Linked DNA regions of Lepisosteus oculatus. The protein of the gene in region 1 binds, or shares a complex with, the protein of each later gene. Links are inferred from orthologs where the notes say so. Each region holds a gene or a part of one and is shown on either strand. Other genes may lie near its edges. The genes, in order: serpina10a and prozb.

Evidence for each region.
Region 2: the proteins of serpina10a (region 1) and prozb are in contact, whole or in part, in a crystal structure (PDB 3H5C), measured with the Homo sapiens proteins. The link is inferred for Lepisosteus oculatus from reciprocal best matches to the Homo sapiens genes SERPINA10 and PROZ. Residues at the interface, in NP_001094077.1 of Homo sapiens: Arg88, Lys89, Ser91, Met92, His94, Asp95, His257, Asp259, Lys260, Tyr261, Asn282, Phe283, Lys305, Met306, Asp308, His309, Leu310, Ala311, Leu312, Asp314, Tyr315, Leu316; in NP_003882.1 of Homo sapiens: Cys129, Pro131, Cys141, Leu142, Pro143, Ser151, His250, Met251, Arg252, Asp254, Ala257, Glu259, Asn260, Glu284, Lys285, Asp286, Phe287, His290, Leu291, Thr336, Thr337, Arg338, Arg390, Ser392, Leu393, Trp394, Gln397.

Annotation. Positions count from the first base shown.
Region 1 is NC_090703.1:18,766,684-18,776,907, forward strand, and holds the start of serpina10a (serpin peptidase inhibitor, clade A (alpha-1 antiproteinase, antitrypsin), member 10a), read left to right. Parts: upstream 1-5,783; 5' UTR 5,784-5,891; intron 5,892-6,655; 5' UTR 6,656-6,668; coding exon 6,669-7,254; intron 7,255-7,788; coding exon 7,789-8,062; intron 8,063-10,186; coding exon 10,187-10,224. Other genes in the region: atxn3 (ataxin-3), read left to right, coding at 155-318, 625-751, 1,445-1,524, 2,028-2,110. UniProt on the Homo sapiens protein: Inhibits activity of the coagulation protease factor Xa in the presence of PROZ, calcium and phospholipids. Also inhibits factor XIa in the absence of cofactors.
Region 2 is NC_090710.1:28,706,308-28,716,423, forward strand, and holds the start of prozb (protein Z, vitamin K-dependent plasma glycoprotein b), read left to right. Parts: upstream 1-5,454; 5' UTR 5,455-5,523; coding exon 5,524-5,596; intron 5,597-7,242; coding exon 7,243-7,406; intron 7,407-8,220; coding exon 8,221-8,245; intron 8,246-9,758; coding exon 9,759-9,872; intron 9,873-10,116. Other genes in the region: f10 (coagulation factor X), read left to right, coding at 460-577, 1,027-1,580. UniProt on the Homo sapiens protein: Appears to assist hemostasis by binding thrombin and promoting its association with phospholipid vesicles. Inhibits activity of the coagulation protease factor Xa in the presence of SERPINA10, calcium and phospholipids.

The DNA.
Region 1 (10,224 bases):
TGAATGCAAAAATGCGTTATGACCAAGAAGTTATAATCTGTGATATCAAGTTAATTTTAATTTAATTTCTTTAAGTATATTTCTCACTCTTAAAGCCCTTGCTCTTTGAATTGTGCTTTTGCATATTTTCTCCCGGTAATATTTTTTATTGTAGTCTGGTAATGGACAGAACACTGAACTCCAACCAGAACTTGGAAGCAGTGCCAGTAGATGAAGATGAGGAGAACTTGAGGAAGGCTCTGGCACTTAGCCGACAAGACATTGAGGTGGAGGATGAAGAGGCTGATCTACGAAGAGCTATTCAGCTTAGTATGCAGGGTATGAGCAGTACGTTGTCTTTTTTGTGTAAAGAAACAGTTTTTGGAGTTGAGAGTTCCTCAATCTCATTTACTCTTCAAAATTTAAAATAACTTGGACTATTACATTATGCAAGGTATTTGTTAGTGTTTTTTTTAATAAGCAATTGTATGTTTACATGAAAGGAAATGACAGAAATTCAACCAGCTTGATAAGTATACTGTTGGGAAAATCTATTTGGCCTCACAGTGCCTTCATAGCAGAAAATGTTGTAAAAATTCAGTCATATTTGCTAGATTTGTTCGTCTTTTTCCATTCTGTCTTCAGGTACTACAGGCAACACTAAGCTTCCTGATCCCAAAGATGAAAATATTGCCCATACATCAACATCAGGCCAGAATGAAACGCTAACAGCAGAGGAGCTTCGAAAGAGAAGGCAGGCCTATTTTGACAAGTAGGTTTGTCCACCTTTCCATTTTCCTTGTTTCATTTTCAGGTTATCCTTTAGTGTCTCTGAGAACTACGGACTGTCTGTGTAGCACCAGTCTGGAGTGATGGTGTCACATGATAGACACAAAATAACTAGACGACTCCTATTTTGGGGGAAAAAAACATGTATTTTTCCATCTTCAGGAATATAAAAATGGCTTTAGTTTATTTCATATTCCCTTTCAAGTTAGTTCCACCACATGAACTTGAAATTAACACTGCATAAAAATACAAAAAGTTTTTCACAAGTATGTAAAAGGCTTCCAGGTGACCCAACCAGCAGAAGTGCTCAATGAGACAGCATACTGGACCTTTTAGACCAAGCATTACTGGTTCATGTAGGCAATGGCATTAGTAGATAATTCACCAAGCAGCAGAACACAATTGATCAAGCACCAGTCTACCAGGTTATCCTTTTTTAATCACAGTGAGCTATGTGCCTGTGAACATTTAGTGTCATCAGTGTGAGCCACATCTCTCCATTCTATGTGTGTACTCTGCAGTGGAAGCTGGGGTTCACAGTAGGAATAAAAGGCAGGGTGGACTTTTGTCTAGAAGTAATGGGTCAGCCAAAAGCCAGAAAGGAATGTACCCAACAAGATATTCTTCAACATGAAGTAGATTAAAGATATTAATGATAAATCCCATTTTATGACAGGCAGTCAACACAGCAGGCACGAGCTACAGCACCACAACAGCAAGAAAGCAAAAGCACTGGCACACTGGCAAATGACACAGGTAATATAGACACATCAGTGGCAATAGGACTTTTGATTTGTGATCTATTTTCCATTATGGGTTTATGAATATGAGGGCCTTATTTTATCTCTTTGAAAATCCTGGGTAAACTGAACTCTTCCTACTTATTTCATTAAATGTTTCTACAGTTTACCCACCAGGAAATTCAAGTGGGTAATGTGCTGTAAATTGCAATAAATGTTTTAGCTAACATAAACTGAGAGTATTGATCAAGCATGATTTGTGTGAATTGGAAATACCAAAACATGAAGAAAATAAAATCATGATATGGGAGCTGCCACAACCAGTCTCCTGCGTCTCCTTTCTGTGTAATTGCTGCTTAGAAAACGGTTCCATTTTTAACTGGGGGGGATTAAAAAAAGGCCTAGTACTTCTCTACAGTTTTATTGTTTTGATTGTTCTGTTATTGTGGAGGAGAATTTAAAATCCTTCAGACACTTTACAAACCAGTTATGTTTGTCTGCTTTGCACTGTTTAAACAGGGGAGGCTCCAAATGAGCAAAACGCAACACAGTCAACCTTAGGTCTAACTCCGGAGCAGCCTGACTCCAAGACAAGTCAGTAAAACATGGAGAATCCAGTGGTCAGTCCCAGAGTACTCTTCGCAATGCCCGTCCTTCTGTTCTGCTGAACTGTAGCAGCTGGTTGACCCAATGCATGAGCACAGAGCGTGTTGACGGAGGACTGGGTTTACAGATACTTGGAAAGGAAAACCGAGGGTGGGGGTTTGCGATCCTGTAACTGTATAACTGCCATTCCGTGTCCATGACGGCCTTCTGCTTCAGCACCTTGTCGTTTATTTTATTTGGTTTTTGTCATTCTCCTTCAAAAATGTGCATGTTTGTGCAAAATGCATTAATCAATGTAAGTAGAAGGGAAAGGGGAATTTGCAGTTTCTGAAAAACAGGGTACATGATGGATCTACAAGGTGTCCAGACTGTCCCTTTTGGAAAGGTATGGGACCACATGTGAATGAATCCTTTGTCCGATACGGTCAGTTCAGATCCCCCCCCCCCCCAACTCCTCCCAGAATCCTGTTGGAAAGGGTGTCAAATCTTGACAGATAAAAGAATGATAGATTCTGTTTTCAGAAAACCGTAAAAAAATAGCATTAATTAAGTCTCCTAGGAATCGGAAAAGGTCTTTACTCATTGGCCATAACTAAAAGGAGAACTTCTTTCTTCCGATATTAATTTATGAGGCTTTATCATTTAAAGTCTTTCCGCTAGGAATCTGATTTTGTAAAAAATTCATACATCACCATAACTTTACTATTTACCTTACTGTACATTATGTTTTAAACCTCCTAGATAAAAAATAATTAACACTATTTTATTATAATTTACTGTAGGGGCTATGAAGTGTTTACTTTTTTGTGCGTTTACGTTGATGTTACATTTATTTGGTCCAAGAAGAGGTGCCAATTTTCAAAGTATGTAGGTTTCGGTTAAAAGTTCTCCGGATGTAAAATTTCTTATCATTTATATTTCTCACATTTTTAAGTTCTGAGGTATACATAATTAGTAAAAAGTTAAAAGGGTCAGGTTGTCTTTTGTTTTAATAGTTTTCATATCATGATTTAATGTTTTGTTTATTTTGTTTATTACTGGGATCACTCTGAACATAAAAGGTTTAGGATTTTGTTTTGGCATTTATTAGTGCGGCAGATCTTAACAGTTTTAGAGATATTTAAATTATTTGATTTTTTTAAATGTAAACTGCATTGCCACATGATTGTCTACTTTGAAAACCTTTTCTTCCCATAAATAAACCTTTTTTTCCATGCCAGTCTGTTCTTCATTTTTTCCCTTTATAATGTGCAGCTTATGTATACTTTTTTACCAAAAGATCTCCAGAGGATTGCAATGTATACTGTACATGTTAAATATAGTGGTGGTCTCATTTTTACTAAATTTCAGATTTTCAGAAACCTAGAACTTTGCAAATAGAAACATCTTTTTCTTTGTAAAGTTGTACCTTTTTGTGACATGGAAGGTTGCACTATTATTCTGTTGCTTGAATTCTAATCTCATATCAACTTTGCATTTTTCTATTTTGAAATCCTTCATTTTTAACAGCCAGAAAAATCCCTTGACTTTTACATAATTGGAAAAGAGATGAGCTAGTTTTACATAACCTCTTTGAGGAAAAAAGAAACCTGCAATAAGAACTGGCCCTTACTTAGGCCATCGTGAGAGGGCTGAAGAGGTGATTTTGCATTACAATAGTAGAAAACGACCATTGCTTTTCAAATAAGGCTAAAATCCCTACCAATTATTACACAAAAGCTGCTCGTCAGACTGCTTCTCAAACCTTTTTGTAATAGCCAAAATTTGTTATTCAGATTTAATATTAGCAAGGTTTTTAAAAATAAAAAATCGAACAAAGTTTGTGAAAGAATGGAAATTATTTGTTAACACAATTTATATATTCAATTCCATTGGAAATTAGAAGCTAGACATAGTGCACCGACTGATGCCATTGTGCCCTATTTTCCATGTTGCTGGCATCTGGAGATGTGAAGAAAGTACAGCTGGGAGGGAAAGACTAATTACCACCACTAATAACTCCAACAGAGGGAAGCTTTCAAGAACTCCCTCCTGTCTCAACGCTTCTGTAACAGCAGGAGGATCAAACTGCGCAAATAACACAATAGAATACCAGCTCCTGCAAAACTAAATTGCACAGTGATGTACTTTCCTGAAAGCAATTATCAAGTGTCATGTTTGCACAAGGGCTAAAGAAATTATGAACCAACACTTGAGATTATAGACTGGCACCATGTCTCACAATTGGCTGCATGAAGGTTTTCGAGTAGTGTTATGAAGTTTTGGCACTGATGTTAAAAGAAATGATGTTTCTCCATGTGATTGCTAGTTATCTGATAGAGGGATTTTCTTTTTTTTTCATTAAACACAAAATATATATAATTTATACATATACATTTAATATACTGATAATCTGTCTTAACTTGATTAACATAAATATTCCTTCGGACATTCTATTTAACCTATATTTCACTTTTAGCATTTTTATGATTTTGCAATTGTAGGTGATTCAGCAAATGTACTGTAGGTTCAAAAAGTTTGAGAGTGCCTTACTTTCCTTCCTGCTTGAATTTTGTTCCATATGAGACAGCTTGACACTTCCTTTTAAAACCAACTTGGTCATCTCCCAGAGCTGAGTGGGTATTTGTTCAGATTTAAGGATGTCATTAAATTCTGTGAAGTTATTCTATTTTAAAAAAAGTCCTCATCTTTTTTTTAAAAATAGATAAAAATGCTATCTGAAAGGTGTATATTTAAATCATATTTATGTGAAATTTTAAAACTAATGGGTTTATGGTTAGACAGAATGGTTGTATCATTTATTCTGATATTCTAGATAAAAGAGAATAATTTATCAGAAAAAGATCATCCCTAAAACGATTTATCACACGGAGAGTAATGTGAATATTCTCCACCTATAATTGTTTTTTACTTTGAAGAATTTTTAGTTTAGAGAAAGATAAAAAAAATCAGAGAATATTCTTTGGTCTGTATAGGTTTACTGCTAGAATATTGGATCACCATTCCACAATGCTTCCAAACTGTTTTGTGAAATGAAAACCTAGCGTTATGTATTTAATGTCTACACTCTGCTTAAGCACAATCTCATATTTCATACAAATGCACTGTCCGGCTTATTACGTTTGTATTTGTAGATTTCATTGTTAAAATTCCCCATGTTACATTGCAGTGTATTAAAAATATATTTGATTAGTCAATATCTGTGACTTCTGCATGCATGTCCTATGTGTGTTTCCATAATTGTTTTAGTAGACTGAACAGTAGATACAAAGATATACCTGAAAAAAGTACGACTTTACGTTTCACAAGAGGCCTAAATGATTTGTTTCATGACGTTTCAGAAAGTTCAGCTGTTTAGAAATAAATGAAAGCACCAAGCAGTTAATATGTTGTGTATTAACAAAATAATGTGCATAAAAACAAATGATTTTTTCAATCATTTAAACTCTGCGTAGCATAATGTGCACTACTGTTCAAAGGTGTGTAAACAATGAATAATATCAGTATTGTTCATTCATTTTCACTCTTAAATATTATTCCCACTGTCATATTAAAAATGTTTTTGTCCAGAAAGATTTGAAACCTGAGTTTTTCTGAGCCACCCAGCATTGAACCTCTTGAAAAAAGCTGGCCATTATTTACAAAATAGTTAATAGACAACCACAAAAGTACACTTGCACTTTGCTCCTCTAAACATTATATTTGGGTATTTTCTTTTGCCTGTAAGACACTTTTGAGACAAAAAAAGTAGAGAAGCAGGAACAGAAGCCAAATATTGTAAGTTAAACATCATCATTCTATTTAATCTTTAAGTCGGATTTACAATATAGCTGTACTATGGTGTACTATGGTGGTAAAAGGAGGAGTAAATCACAATATTGCATTTGCGAGAAAATTGTCAATTCCGTGTTTAAACATGTTAAACTACTAATAGTGTAAAGAAAATATCTCTGAAATAAACCAGGGTAGTAAGTGAAGCATCATAGCTTTAGGGATCTGGGTTCAATTCTAGGCTGTTGTGCATGCTGGGTGGCTTTCTACAGTATGTTATATGTGCATTTTCTCTTTGTACAGTAAGCATGATTTTTCTCCAGGTGTGCCTGGTTTCCCCTCTCTTCTTAACGAAACCTGGTAGATTGATTAGCTATGCTAAATTGCCAAATCCACGAGGAGTGGGGTCTCTGTCATTAATCTGCCGGTAAAACATAGTTCTCCTACAATACTGACCTCAAAATATGTGAGATAAGGTTCAGATGAAGAATATATAGATATCGGAATGACTTACTTATTAATCATCAATTCTATATTTAAGTAATAATTCAAAATTATGACTTAAATTTATGTAAAATTTGTGGTTTTACAAACCTTTGAACAGAACTACATGTACTGTACATGTATGTAATGTTTACATTGCATTGGAGCATTACACAATGCAAACATATTATATTTTGCTTTTTACTAGCATGTTTTCATTGCTTGAGAATTAAAACTGCACAAATGCCTCACACCCTGCCTTATGTTGCATTTTATTGTGTCTGTAGGGGTGAAATCAAAATGAAGACAAGACTTCTTTTTCTGGTATGTGCCTCACTCTTTGCCCCCCTGAGCAAAGGTCAGAAGGAAAATCCCACTATCATGGACCTGTCTACAAAAAACACAGATTTTGCTATGAACCTTTACAGGAAGCTTGCCAGCCATCATGATGACAACATCTTCTTCTCCCCTTTGTGCATGTCAGTAGCATTCACCATGCTATCGATGGCTGCAAAAGGGGATACTTACAATCAGATCCTTAAGGGTCTCAACCTCCAACTGCTTCAACGAGCGGACCAGGCAGACCTGATCCCTGAACTGTTCCGACAACTGGAAGCCAATATCACCCAAAACCAAGACTTGATACTGGCCCGGGGCAGTGCTATGTTTGTTCATCAGCAGTTTGAAATTGATAAGATTTTCAGTGAGCAAATCAAGAAGTTCTTCAACTCAGATATAATGAACATAGATTTCTCCAAGACCGAAGCTAGCAAAACAACCATTAATGATTATGTAAAAATGAAGACGAATGAAAAGGTCATGGGGCTCATCAGTCAGATAGATCCTCTTACTCAGCTGGTGCTTGTAAATACCATTCTTTTCCAAGGTGGGTGAATAATAATACTGTAGCAACCTCACAGATGGTAAAATGAGGATAATGAAGAGATTACAGGTTTACCGTTCAGATTTGATGTTTTTATGATTTAGTTTGAAATTCAACATATAATGGAGTATAAATATATTATTAATATTATGTTAATGCCCAGAATTGTCTGGATGCTCAATTGAAATGTCTTGAGCAAACCTTTCTTTAATGAATCAAAATTTAGAGCCGTAGCTACAACAAATATCTCTATTGTTTAAAATAATTTACTTAGTAAAGCATTTTAAACAATAGAGATTTTGATATGGTTGAAGAAAGTAACACTAGAACTCTTCAGTTTAATATTGGCTCAAAATCTGAAGGTAATTATGTAAAAAGTGTTCTACATTGTTTAAATACATATTATTTATGTTGTGTCTGTTTATATATTATAATAAAAAAGAAACCCAAAAAAGAAAAACATGAAACTTCCTGACAAGTTGGCATTGACTCAGATTTCATTTGTTATTAAACAGATTTGACTTTGTCTTCGTTTAGGCAAATGGGAGCTACCATTTAACTCCAGCTTTACAGAGGAAGCACGATTTTATGTTGACAAATACAATATTGTCAAGGTCCCCATGATGTTCCGAGAAGATAAATATTACTTGGCCTACGATCCTGTGCTGAAGCTCGGCATTCTAAAGTTGCCATACAGAGGCCATGCTGCAATGCTGGTCCTTCTTCCTGACAAGGGTGTTGACTATACATCCATCGATGATGAAATCTCTGCAGAGAGCTTTCTGGGATGGATACAGAAACTGAAGAAAACGTAAGCAGACCTCTAATAAGTGCTTTCTTTTTTAATGTATTTAGTTGGAAAACTGGAAAGGTACACGCAAACCTTACAGAGCCTTGCAAAAGTATTCAGACTCCTCTGATGTTGTCCCATTTTGCAGAATTACAAAACGCACACCTCTTTTTCAATTTAATGTTTTATTCTAAACCTGAATGCTCGAACTGAAGAGGTGTCAGGGTAAGATTAATGTCAGTAAATGTCAGTAAAAATAAAGAGAAAAAAATGAAATCTGTTGATTGCACAGGTATTCAGATTCATTTGGGATTCAAACATAGTGCAATTTTAACCATCTTTTTTGGCAGATTTGCTCAAGCTCTCTCAAGTTGCTTGAGGATAATAATAATAATAATTGCTAACACTTATATAGCGCTTTTCTGGACACTCCACTCAAAGCACTTTACAGGTAATGGGGACTCCCCACCACCACCACCAATGTGCAGCATCCACCTGGATGATGCGACAGCAGCCATAGTGCACCAGAACGCTCACTACACATCAGCTATCAGTGGGGAGGAGAGCAGAGTTATGAGGCCAATTCATAGATGGGGATTATTAGGAGGCCATGGTTGGTAAAGGCTAATGGGAAATTTGGCCAGGACACCGGGGTTACACCCCTACTCTTTTCGAGAAACGCCCTGGGATTTTTAATGACCACAGAGAATCAGGACCTCGGTTTTACGTCTCATCCGAAGGACGGCGCCTGTTTACAGAATAGTGTCCCCGTCACTATATTGGGGCATTAGGACCCACATGGACCGCAGGGTGATCGCCCCCTGCTGGGCCCACTAACACCTCTTCCAGCAACAACCTTAGTTTTTCCCAGGAGTTCTCCCATCCAGGTACTGACCTGGCTCACACCTGCTTAGCTTCAGTGGGTTAACAGTTGTGAGTTGCAGGGTGATATGGCCGCTGGCAGTAAGAAAAGAAACATTTAATCAATATCCAAAATCAGTATACTTCATTTTTTTTATGATCACCCTGGTCACTTGTGGATAGCAGTTTTCAAGTCTTTCCACGGGCTCTCAATAGGATTCAGGTCAAGACATTAACTGAGCTGCTCAAGGACAGGCTGCCTTCCACTTCCTAATGATCAGCTTACCCATGCACAAGGAGATATTAGAGTCTTTGAAGTGAATTTATACTCTTCTGTACCTTTACATAACTTTGTTACAAGGCATCTGAATACTCAAAACTGAACCCAAGAGCAAGAAAATGGAGAGTGGATGAAACACCCAAAGATCCAACTCGGCTTGAGCCGAGGGAAAGTGAAGTAAAAAGTAGTGCCAATACAATGATACATTACTGGCCAGTGGGGGGATTAGCCCAGGCCCAGGTTAGTAAAGAAAGAGAAAAGGGCAAAGCTGCTACAGTCTAAAGAGAAGCTGGCTGGCAGCATCGCAGGTGAAAAAAGGAAAAAGGGATAGCATGGTGACCTCAGTCCTTGATCAGAATCAGGGAGTTTTGGCTCTTGGGAAATTGCTCTCTCGACTTTGGAGTGGATACCTACTGCTGTGCTCCCCAAAACAAGGGGACCGCATGGGTCTGGTGGGCAGTCCTAGTCTGGGTTAATTAGACTGGGGTGCAGGCAGGTGGACAAGCAGACTGGTGCAGGAGAAAATTAAAGGGAAGAAATCTTCCTTTAAGAACTGGCCACCGAAGCAAAGATTGCCCTAGCCCGTCAGCAAGCAAAAAGAATAGAGATAATAAGTTCACTGTGGCGAGAAAAGAGAAAGGCTGGCATTACACAACACCAGCCCTCATTCAAACTGCCCACCTCAGCCCATGGACTGGGATCAGGGGGCCTTAGCTCTTGGAATATTGCTCTCTCGGCTTCAAATTCCTACTGCAGAGCTCCCAGAAAGAGGGAGCTATACAGGTTGATGGGGGGCAGCCCTCTTGTGTAGCCAGGGATGTGGACTGGCAAGCTAACAGGATAACACACAGAATAAGAAGCACTCATTAAGTGCTGCCTGATTTAATTGTCAGTCCTCAAAAATGTTACTGTGTATCAGGTAAATCTATTATGGCTGATTATCCATATCATGTCATCATGCTCCAAGAATAAATATATATATATACTCTGTCATTGTGTTGCAGAAAACTAGAAGTACAGCTGCCTCGGTTCAAGATGGAGC
Region 2 (10,116 bases), on another chromosome or scaffold:
CAGCTCAGGTGTTTTCACATTCTGTCACTCTCCACCTTGTCTTGCTTTGACCTCTGTGTTAGTTTCTCCACACGCTGCTTTTGGCCGTGCTGGCCGTCCTGCTTCAGAAGAGAAGGAGCAGGGAAAGCGCAGTGGCTGAGAGCACTCACAACAGGATATCGAAGGGGCAGAGATAGGTGCTACAACATCCTTTTCAGTTGTTGCCTTGTAAATTTGCAGTCCCAGGTGTATAGTTGAACTTGTTTTTCAGCCAGGGGGTAAGTCAGACAACTGAATGAAATTAAGACAGAATTTGAATGAAATTAAGAAAAAAAATGAAAAATAAAAGACATCAGTTATGAAGAGTACATAAAGCTTACGGGACTGAACCAACAATACACTACCTGGATGCAAATTGTAAGTCATTGGTATGTCATTTGCTCTTTCATGTTATTTTTCTTTTTGTCTTTACTTTTTTAGGCTCTTTTAATAAACGAGGAAGGAGTAGGATTTTGTGGTGGGACCATTCTGACTGAACATATTATATTATCAGCCGCACATTGCATGAGAGAGTCTAAGTCATTTACAGTAAGGCTTGGTATGTGTCTTTTTTTTATTATATTTGAGGATTCAATAGCATAAAATGTTTGTGTCTCCTTATCTAATTTTTCCTCTTTCAGAGTGAAGGATATTTAATCAGTCAGTATATTGTTTAGACCAATAGTCAAGTTATATTGTTAATAATGAGTTACACAGTTCACTTGTGTTAAGCCCTTTATGCAGTGTAAATGGAATTTGTTTGCCTTCAGCTCAGCATGTTAAGCCAAATGTATTATGATGAAAACATAAAGCTTTTTTTAACATATTGAAAAATAGACCTAATATGCTTTAAAATAAATATTCACTGTTTCTTCAGAAAAGGTTCCATGGGAACTTTGATTTTTGAAAAGTATTAGCTAATAATAAAATATACAGCACTAGAACAACCGTTCATATTTATGCCGTAAATTACATATAAATTCAAACTTTTATATCCCTAAATTTCAGGGGACTATGACACAGAAAAGACTGATGACAGTGAGGAAACATATCCCGTGGAGAAAGTGATCATTCACAATAAGTACGTCACGGACACCTACGACAACGATATAGCCATCATCAAGCTGAAGGAGCCCGTCAAATTCACCAAGTTCATCATTCCGGCTTGCCTTCCGGAGAAAGATTTCGCCGAGAAGGTCCTGATGAAGCAGAACGACGCCCAGATCAGTGGCTTCGGGCGCACTCACGAGAGAGGCAGGCAGTCCACCATCCTCCAGAAGCTCACTGTGCCCTACGTGGACAGGCTCATGTGCATCGAGTCCAGTCAGGCCCAGATCTCCGCTAACATGTTCTGCGCTGGCTATGACAAGGTAGCCAAGGATGCCTGCCAGGGGGACAGTGGCGGTCCCCATGTCACACAGTACAAAGACACGTGGTTCATCACTGGGATAGTGAGCTGGGGGGAGGGCTGTGCCAGGGAAGGCAAATATGGGGTCTACACGCAGGTGTCCAAGTTCCTTCCATGGATCAAAGCAGTTATTAAGTACTTCAGTAAAGCATGACCTTTCCTTTGCTTCTGATTTGTTCACGATTTTACACCGGGCAAACAGAATGACTAATACTACTAATTTCAGTATCTGATGAATTGAGTAATGTGTGAATTTTAAGCGTGGCTCTGTATCTCAGTCTTTTTCCATGGCAGTGGAATAACCCTGAAAAGAAATTAAATGAAGACGCTGTTTACAGAAAGCATTAAAGGTCTCGTTTGCTGATTTTGTACATCTGGGGCTTGAATACCAGATGATTGAAATGTTAGCGGTGCTTGGTATGTCAGTAACACATCTACAGTACAGTATTCAATACACTAGAAATATATCCTAAACAATGTGCTTTTATCCCTTTCAGATACTTTTTTTGCTGTATTAGTTATGGAACGTGGCTGCCTTCCTCTAGCTCTCCAAGCAATAGAAACATCCTCTACACCTCACCAGTTTCCCAGTGCAGTTTCACTCCCTGTGCACGTGAATTCCTTCATGCCAATCTAGCATCCCTGAGAAACAGCAGATCTCGCTTGAATGATACACGGATGGGTGTATCGGTGATAGGCTTCTACTTGATCAATTTCTACATAGAGCTAAATGAAATCGAGCGTCTTTCTGAAATAAATCTGACCTGAGATCATTGCAAATGCAAAATCATCGTATATGTGACACATTCATCATCGGAATGCTGCTGGTTCCCAGTGAGGGGGGGGCCCCACCTGGAGCCTATCTCAGGGGAACAAGGTGCACTCCAGCACTGCTCTGTGAATGGAATGGCACTGCGTCACTCACACTGCACACAACTGTGAGACCCTGGGAGGGTCAGAGTCAACCGGAGAAGAGCCACACAAACACAGAGGGAACATGAACTTCAGCCAGATGCCTCCCCAGTCCAGAGCTGAACACAAGACCTACAGGCTGTGAGGCGGTCGTGCCACACCCCACCCCACCATACTGATCAAAGGACTTTTAGAAGTGATTTTTCTCATCAGAAGTGAAAACGCTGAAATGACAAATTCATTTTGATTTGTGTTGTGTCATGGCATTTGCCAAAACCACTTTATACCCTACGGTGTCGCGGGAGGCCGGAGCCTACCTGGCAAGCAACGAGCGCAAGGCAGGGTACACCCTAGACAGGACGCCAGTCCATCGCAGGGCCAGTGCAGGTCAGTCATACATGGGGACAGTTTGGAGGCCACGGTAAAGGCCGAGGAGGGAAATCTGGCCCGGACACTGGGATAACTCCCTACTCTTCTCGAGAAATGCCCGGGGATCTTTAATGACCACTGAGAGTCAGGACCTCGGTTTAAAGTCTCATCCGAAAGACAGTGCCACTTCAGTATAGTGTCCCCATCACTATACCGGGGCATTAGAACCCACACAGACCGCAGGGTGAGCGCCCCCTACTGGCCCCACTAACACCTCTCCCAGCAGCTTTCCCAGGGGGTCTCCCATCCAGGTGCTGACCAGACTGAGAGCTGCAGGGAGGTATGGCTGCCGGCTGATTTGTGTCATTTGAAATTAAATTAGATTCTAAGATTTCTTTAGAGCATGAAGGAGTACAAGATCAGCCCGTCTTTAGGCCACTTGGTTCCTACTGTCTTTTTGATCCTTGTGCATCTAACAGTATTTTCAGCTCTAAATGTCCTTGTTTCTCACTATCCTATATGTAACAGTGTCCCCTGGTCCCTGTAAACCTTTTGAATCCCTCTAATTGATCATTTCGTCAGTTTCATTTTTTTAAATATTTTTTATCAAATCTTTTTGTCTCCTCATTTGCAGGCTGAAAATGCCAACAGAGTCATTTTCAGACCATTGTACCCCACAGTCCAAACGGCTCCTGGCCGTTATTATGGTAGTTATTACAGTTTCTTTCCACTTTTAGTCTGGTCATTTTAAGGGGGCATAGAAACAGTGGAGGAAATGTTGTACTGGTGGAAAAACCACCTCAGAGTGATCCTAGGAGTTATTTTAACCTCTTTTATTTCTGTTAAAGAATTTATATATATTGTAATGATGTTTTCTGACAAAAGGGAAGAGTCCCAGTTCCTTAAACTGAGCTCCACTGTGGTTCAAATGTAGAGAACATATTTTACCACTTTCCTCTCGTTTTTATTGCATTATTGAATTATCTCAAAAAAAAGATTTTGACAAGTCTACATAAACAAATCTTGTCCATTTATTTTCCTCTTCAAGTTCCAGTACCCAAATATCTGCTGTTCACAAACTATATCAGTGGGTTCATTCTTTATTATAATTGTGCTTTCTGGAATTTATTTTCTAAACCTGTTCTGAATGACTTTATACAAACAGAAATTATACATATAAGTAATCATACTGTGGTATGGCTCTAATCTATGTCGCTCCAGGGGGAATGATCATTGTACAAAAAAAATGGATACCAAAGGTTCCCAGTTACAGGGGTGATCACAAAGTCATACAACTTATATAATTCTGGCAAACTGTACACATTTGCAGCAAAAATGTTTGAATAGAAGTTAAGTAGTTTGTTAAAAAGTAACCAGGTAGCTCGATTCAAAGCTAGATTAGACCAAAATTCAGATCCCTGTTCATTAAAAACATTGAATTCAGGAGAAATACTGTAATAGCGACTGAACTCTGACCTTGAATTGGTCGATAGTACTGTATGTTCCAGTCAAACAGACCAGCAAAGCAGGTAGCTTTTAACAGAAAAACAATCCTCAGCCAGACAAATGATTGCTTACTGTTAAAGGTCAAACCTGGAAAACAGGCAGATCTTCCCATTTAACCCCAGAATACATACAGTCTGGAACAAATTTATCACTACCACTATAAACATATCACTATCACCACTTTATCAACAGGACATTTTTCTAAAAAGTGAAAAGTAGTTTTCCATGGACAAAAACACAATGTCAGTACTAAAATTAAACTGATGCATGTGATGTTCTGTGCTTGGAATGTCCTTTGAGAAATATAATTGCACCCTTTCCTTTCATTGAAGTGCGCATTGCTTAGTTTGGTGCACTTCACATGTGTATTCATTGTACTGTCTTTACAAAAATAAAACTATAATGGACAGAAATGAAACCTTGATAAAACATGTACACCTTACATGAGCAATGTGTAGACGTTTCATCATAAGAAACACAGTAGAAAAAATTACAGCATTACAAGAAGTTAATATTAGGGACAATTCTTTTTGACATCTTGATAATCATGTACTAATAAAAACACCCAAAGCCTACAGTACATATATTCAACCATTTGAAAACACTGACACCAACTGGACAAAAATGCAATTTACATGAGGATAAATTTTAACAATTCTATCCATGTGCATCTTAAACTATGTCACTGATCATGCTGAATAGCAGTAGCAGGGGTGCAATATGATTATGTGAAATGATTTTTTCACTTTACATTTATTATTTCATTATTTCTTGTTTATTTAGTTGTGTTTACAGCTTACAATTAACTGAACATCTGAAATGTCTGACAGTAATAAACTTTATTTATATAGCACCCTTAAAGGTGGCTTCTCAAAGCTCTTTAAAGAATGACAGTAACAATAAACAAATTACACAGGATATGCATGATGAATTGAGACAGTAGATGGGGGTACTGAATACAGTAGGAGCAGAGGGGTGATGAACAGAACCTGTGAACCTGACTAGATTACAAACTATACCAGATTCTAGATTATTTTAGCTTCTCTGATTTAGTGTCATGTTTAAAAACAAAATAGTGCAATGTTTATAATGGTATTACTAAGGATATTCTTTCTTTTCTAGCAGCAGTTGAAAAGCAATGTTTTAAAACAGTGAGCAATGTAAAGTCCACCCCTGCTTTAAACCAAATATTGCCCCAATGCAGAAAGGTTATGCAATACTCCGAGTAAGAATTGGTGATCTTTGTCCTCAGAGTGAAGGTTTTGTTTTAAGCTCTTTGTACAGTAGCATCTGAATAGGTTGGTGTCATCATGGTGTCTTTGGACTGGTTTTTATGTTTGACACTTGTGGGGTTCTTTTCCATAACTGGTGCTGATTATGAAGGTAATACTTTTCTATTGCTATTTAAAAATGTTTTTGTAATGTCGACATACGTATACACTAACAGTGCAACGTCAAATCTGCGTGTTACAGTTGGCAAGACTTATTCTTGGATTTAACATTTTAAGAGTAGTGATCAGGAACAATAAAGCATTTATTGCATTTTTATTTGATTCTTGTAAAGGGTTTTCACTTTGAAAAGAGATGTAAGCTTCACGAATCTCTAAGCTTCTTATCAGGAAATGTTGTGATTTTGTGTTCAGCACACTAATTTATACTGTTGAAGATTTTAGACAAAGGCCACCCAGTGTTGCTGACTTAAGAAAAGTAAGTTGCACAGTACAGCAGGATTCATTTCAGAGTAAGAGATCAGACTTAAACCAAAAATGTTTTTGTCAAAAGTTTTTGTATGTTTTTGGTTTCTTTCATTTCAGTTTTAGTTCTTTATTAGAATATTCCACTGGCCCGTTTCAAGATATCTTTCCCATTTTCATTTCAAGACAAAAGACCTCAATGAGAGAAAGACAAACACAACAGCACATCCCTGTAGTCATGAGAGACCTTTGCTGCTTTTGATTTGGGATTGAAAGCTATTGCATGCTACACCTGACTGAAGATGATTGTCTTCATTCTGGTCTGCATTTGGCACTGTCACACTTCTCTTATAGTCTGTATATACTACTGTATTACAGTACGGTGTGTGTACTGTATATCATCTAATACATTCAGCAAGAGAAACACGAGCATCTAACAGATGGACTTCAGGGAAATAAATTGTAGCAGCTACACTGACTTGTCATTGAACAGACTTGGCAAATTCATGACGCTGATCAATATTTCTCATGAACTGGGTTAATCAACAGAGAGTGGAAATCGCAGGCTAGTTCTAAAGGGACTTTGTGCTTGGGTTCACTTCCCAGCCTGCTGTCTGTGTGGAGTTTGTATGTTCTCCCTGTGCTTGTGTGGGTTTCTGCTTGTGCTGGTAGGTGTCTGTGTGCACTCTTCGATGGTCTGGAGTCCTGTCCAGGGTGTATCCTGTGTTTGTGTCCGTGGCTTGCCGGGTCAGGCTTCAGCTCCTCGTGGCCCTGTATCGGATAACGCAGGGAGGAAATGGGATGGATGATGTTAAACCCAATAAAAACCCAATTGTTTGCGAGATTTGGAAAATTTGAATTTCGGTATCCGCAGCTAAATCGACAATGTAGTTCAAGTAGGCTGCAAAGCAACGCCTGAAGGTTTATTCTGTGCTGAAAAGAGAAGAAAGGGAACACACCACCCGAAGAAGGCTCCACAGCCGAAATGTTGTGTTTCCTTTTTTCTCTTTTCAGCACGGAATAAAGCTTTATGTGACCCTGAATCGACAATAATAAACTTTAATAATAATAAACTTTATTTTATATAGCGCCTTTAAAGGTGGCTTCTCAAAGCGCTTTACAGGATGACAACAATAGTAAATAAGAAGAATAAATGGCAGGGAAGCGCAATGTGAGAACTCTTCCTGGCTGAAGGCACCGAGTCGGGGGGCTGCTGTGTTTCTTGGTCGTGACACAAACAGTCCCAGCTTGATGCCGTTGTGCACTTGCCTCACGCTCATTGCTGCGGCGCTACGGAAAGAAACAGGTCACTGCAGAGCGTCGCTTTTCTTCCAGTCTTTCAGACCCAGGAGGAAGCCGCCCAGATCCTCCGAAGAACTAAGCGTGCGAACTTCATGCTCGTCGAGGAGATCCTAAAGGGCAACTTGGAAAGAGAGTGCCATGAAGAACTCTGCACCTATGAGGAAGCCAGAGAAGTTTTTGAAGACACAGACAAAACGGTTCGTATTTTTCTTTGAAATGCATGGACCAAAGCTGCTTTGCTGCTTTTTGTAACTCACTCGCTGGCCTGGTTAAGCCCTTTCCTCCAGGGGTAACAGACTGCACAGATGCAGGCACAGGGCCAGCGTGCAATTTGATTCAAACTACGGCATTAGTGTGTATGCGCTGTAGGTGATTTAAGACAGCCCTCTTGCTTTTGCAACAGCAAATGATTGTCATGATATAAACTAAATGTCACACGTGGATTCAGCAGATTGAAAATATTATGATAGTTTATACTGCTATTACCAATTATACAGTAAATGCAAAAAGGGTATGGATGGGGTCTCAGTGTTGGCAGCAATGGCACAAGTAAAGTTTATTTCTAAGTTGAAAATTTGAAGAAATCTAACATTTGGGCTGATGAGCCTTCTTCGGGTGTCATCCGTATTTTTTGCGTAATTATTATCTGCAACGATCTTATTACTTTTGAAGTATTCCAATTTGTTCAGATACATTAGGTATCTAATTAGAAAAAAACTATAAACGTTCACCTTAACTACATATCTCTAATTTCTGCCCTTTACACAGACTAGAGTAAAACATGAACCATAAGTCCCATAAAACATTCCCAAAGCACAACCTGTTCCACAAAACTCCCAGCACTCCTTCTAAAAGTCTGTGATCACCCCTCTTTGCCTAACCAAACCACAGAACTGTGCTGCTGGCTATTTCTAGAAATTATTTTATTCAAAGTGTCTTCAAACAGAGCTGTAAGGTGTAATGTCCTGCAGAGTTGAACTAAAGTCTGTTTTTTTTGTGTTTGTTTTCTAGAACAAATTTTGGGCCGTTTACAAAGGTATGAATGGTGTTCTTACAGAACGAAATGTCGGTGATGTTTCATGCATATCTAACTTTCTGGATAATTACACACATTTCTTCAATATTTCTTATGTAGTTTAAGCATATTTACGGCATTTCCATATTTCTCTCCTAACCAGCTCTTTAGCTCATTGAAAGTGCGCTTCTCATAATGAAAAATAAAGATTCCCTAGAACGCCTGTCAGAGGCACAGTGGAGCGCTGGCTGGCATTGCTGCCTCATGGGAACAAGTAATAGGTTTATTCCATGCTGAAAAAAAAGAAGAAAGAAACACGAAGGAGACTCGGAGACCGCTTCAGAGAACACGTCAGGGCTGTGAAGATTAAAGATCTCTCCAAGCCCATTGTTTCTCATTTCACCTCTGACGGCCACGACCACTCTAATCTCTCCGTCTGTGTTCTCCAAGATGGTTTTCCGAACTCATACATCAGAAAGACCACCGAAACTAAAATTATTCTGCAGCTAGGATCACACATTCTCCCTTCCCTTAACGACAGATTACTGTTCTTTTAAATTTTCTCCATTCATTGGAAGTTTCATTTCACACCTCTTGATTGGCCTCTCTTTCTGTCCCCTGCTCCCGCCTCTCACTCCTCCTCCCTCCCAACCTTTGTTCTCCCGCTACTTTACCTTTGCCTACTGCCCTGTCTCTCTCACACCTGAAGAAGGCTCCACGGCCGAAATGTTTTGTTCTCTTTCTTCTTTTTTTCAGCATGGAATAAACCTATTACTTGTTCCTTTGCAGCCTACGCATGCTGACGCAGCTACCCACCTGAACTATTGCTGCCTCATGCTGGGGTGCGGTCTGTGTGGAGTTCGAATGCTCTCCGCAGTTTCCTCCCGCAGTCCAAAGACATGCTGGCACGTTAATTGGCCCTGGTGTGAGTGCATGGACTGGCATCCATCAGTTATTTATCACATATTATACTGATCCACACAGGGCACACCATGCACCAACACTTAATGATAACATACTGTAAGATAGTACAATATATAGATTATATACTTATATAATACGTAGATATATACTTCATGATACTGCACTGATAATACACTCAAGGCATTTTAGCCGAACTGAAAAGCAAAAAAGGGCCTTTAGCTCTCATGACTAAGTAATACCTTATTACTTACAGCCGAGATTTGTACAATCCTTGTGCTGAAGGGCTGCTTTCCTCCAGATTTTCTATCCTGTCCAGGGTGGACCCTGCCTTGTGCCTGTTGCATGCTGGGATAGGCTCCAGCAAACGGACAGATGTATAGACCAGATCTAATCATCCGGATCTGTAGGTTGCATTGCATCTGAGCACCATGTGAGAAGTTATTTCCTTAAATACTCATACTTGTTTCCCTTTTTGGTCGTTCATAATCTCCAAAAATGTTTTGGCGTGCTGAAGACAGGGATGGTTTAACATTGCTGTGACTCAAAAGCGAAATCCCGGGTTCTTCGCCCTTTGACTTGAGTGTAGATGACCCTGTTTCCCTCTTCCCAGATGGTGACCAGTGCAGTCCCAACCCCTGCCAGCACGGAGGGACGTGCACTGACCAGGTTGGAGGATACGAGTGCAAATGCATGGAGCTTTACAGGGGGGCAAACTGTGAAACTGGTAAACACTGTTGAACTCACCAGCTGACGCGGTATTGATAGCAACAGTGTTCACTGACTGGGAATTAATCTGTCAACGTGAAAGCTGTCTATCATGGGGGAAAAAATGCAATACTGATCCATGTCAGTGATGAACACTGTCCTGGAGAGACGCTTTCCAGCAATCGTGGCTTTATAGGTTACACTAACACCCCAAGACTTAGCACAATGTAACTGTTACCAATTCAGCAAGTGATCTGTTAAAT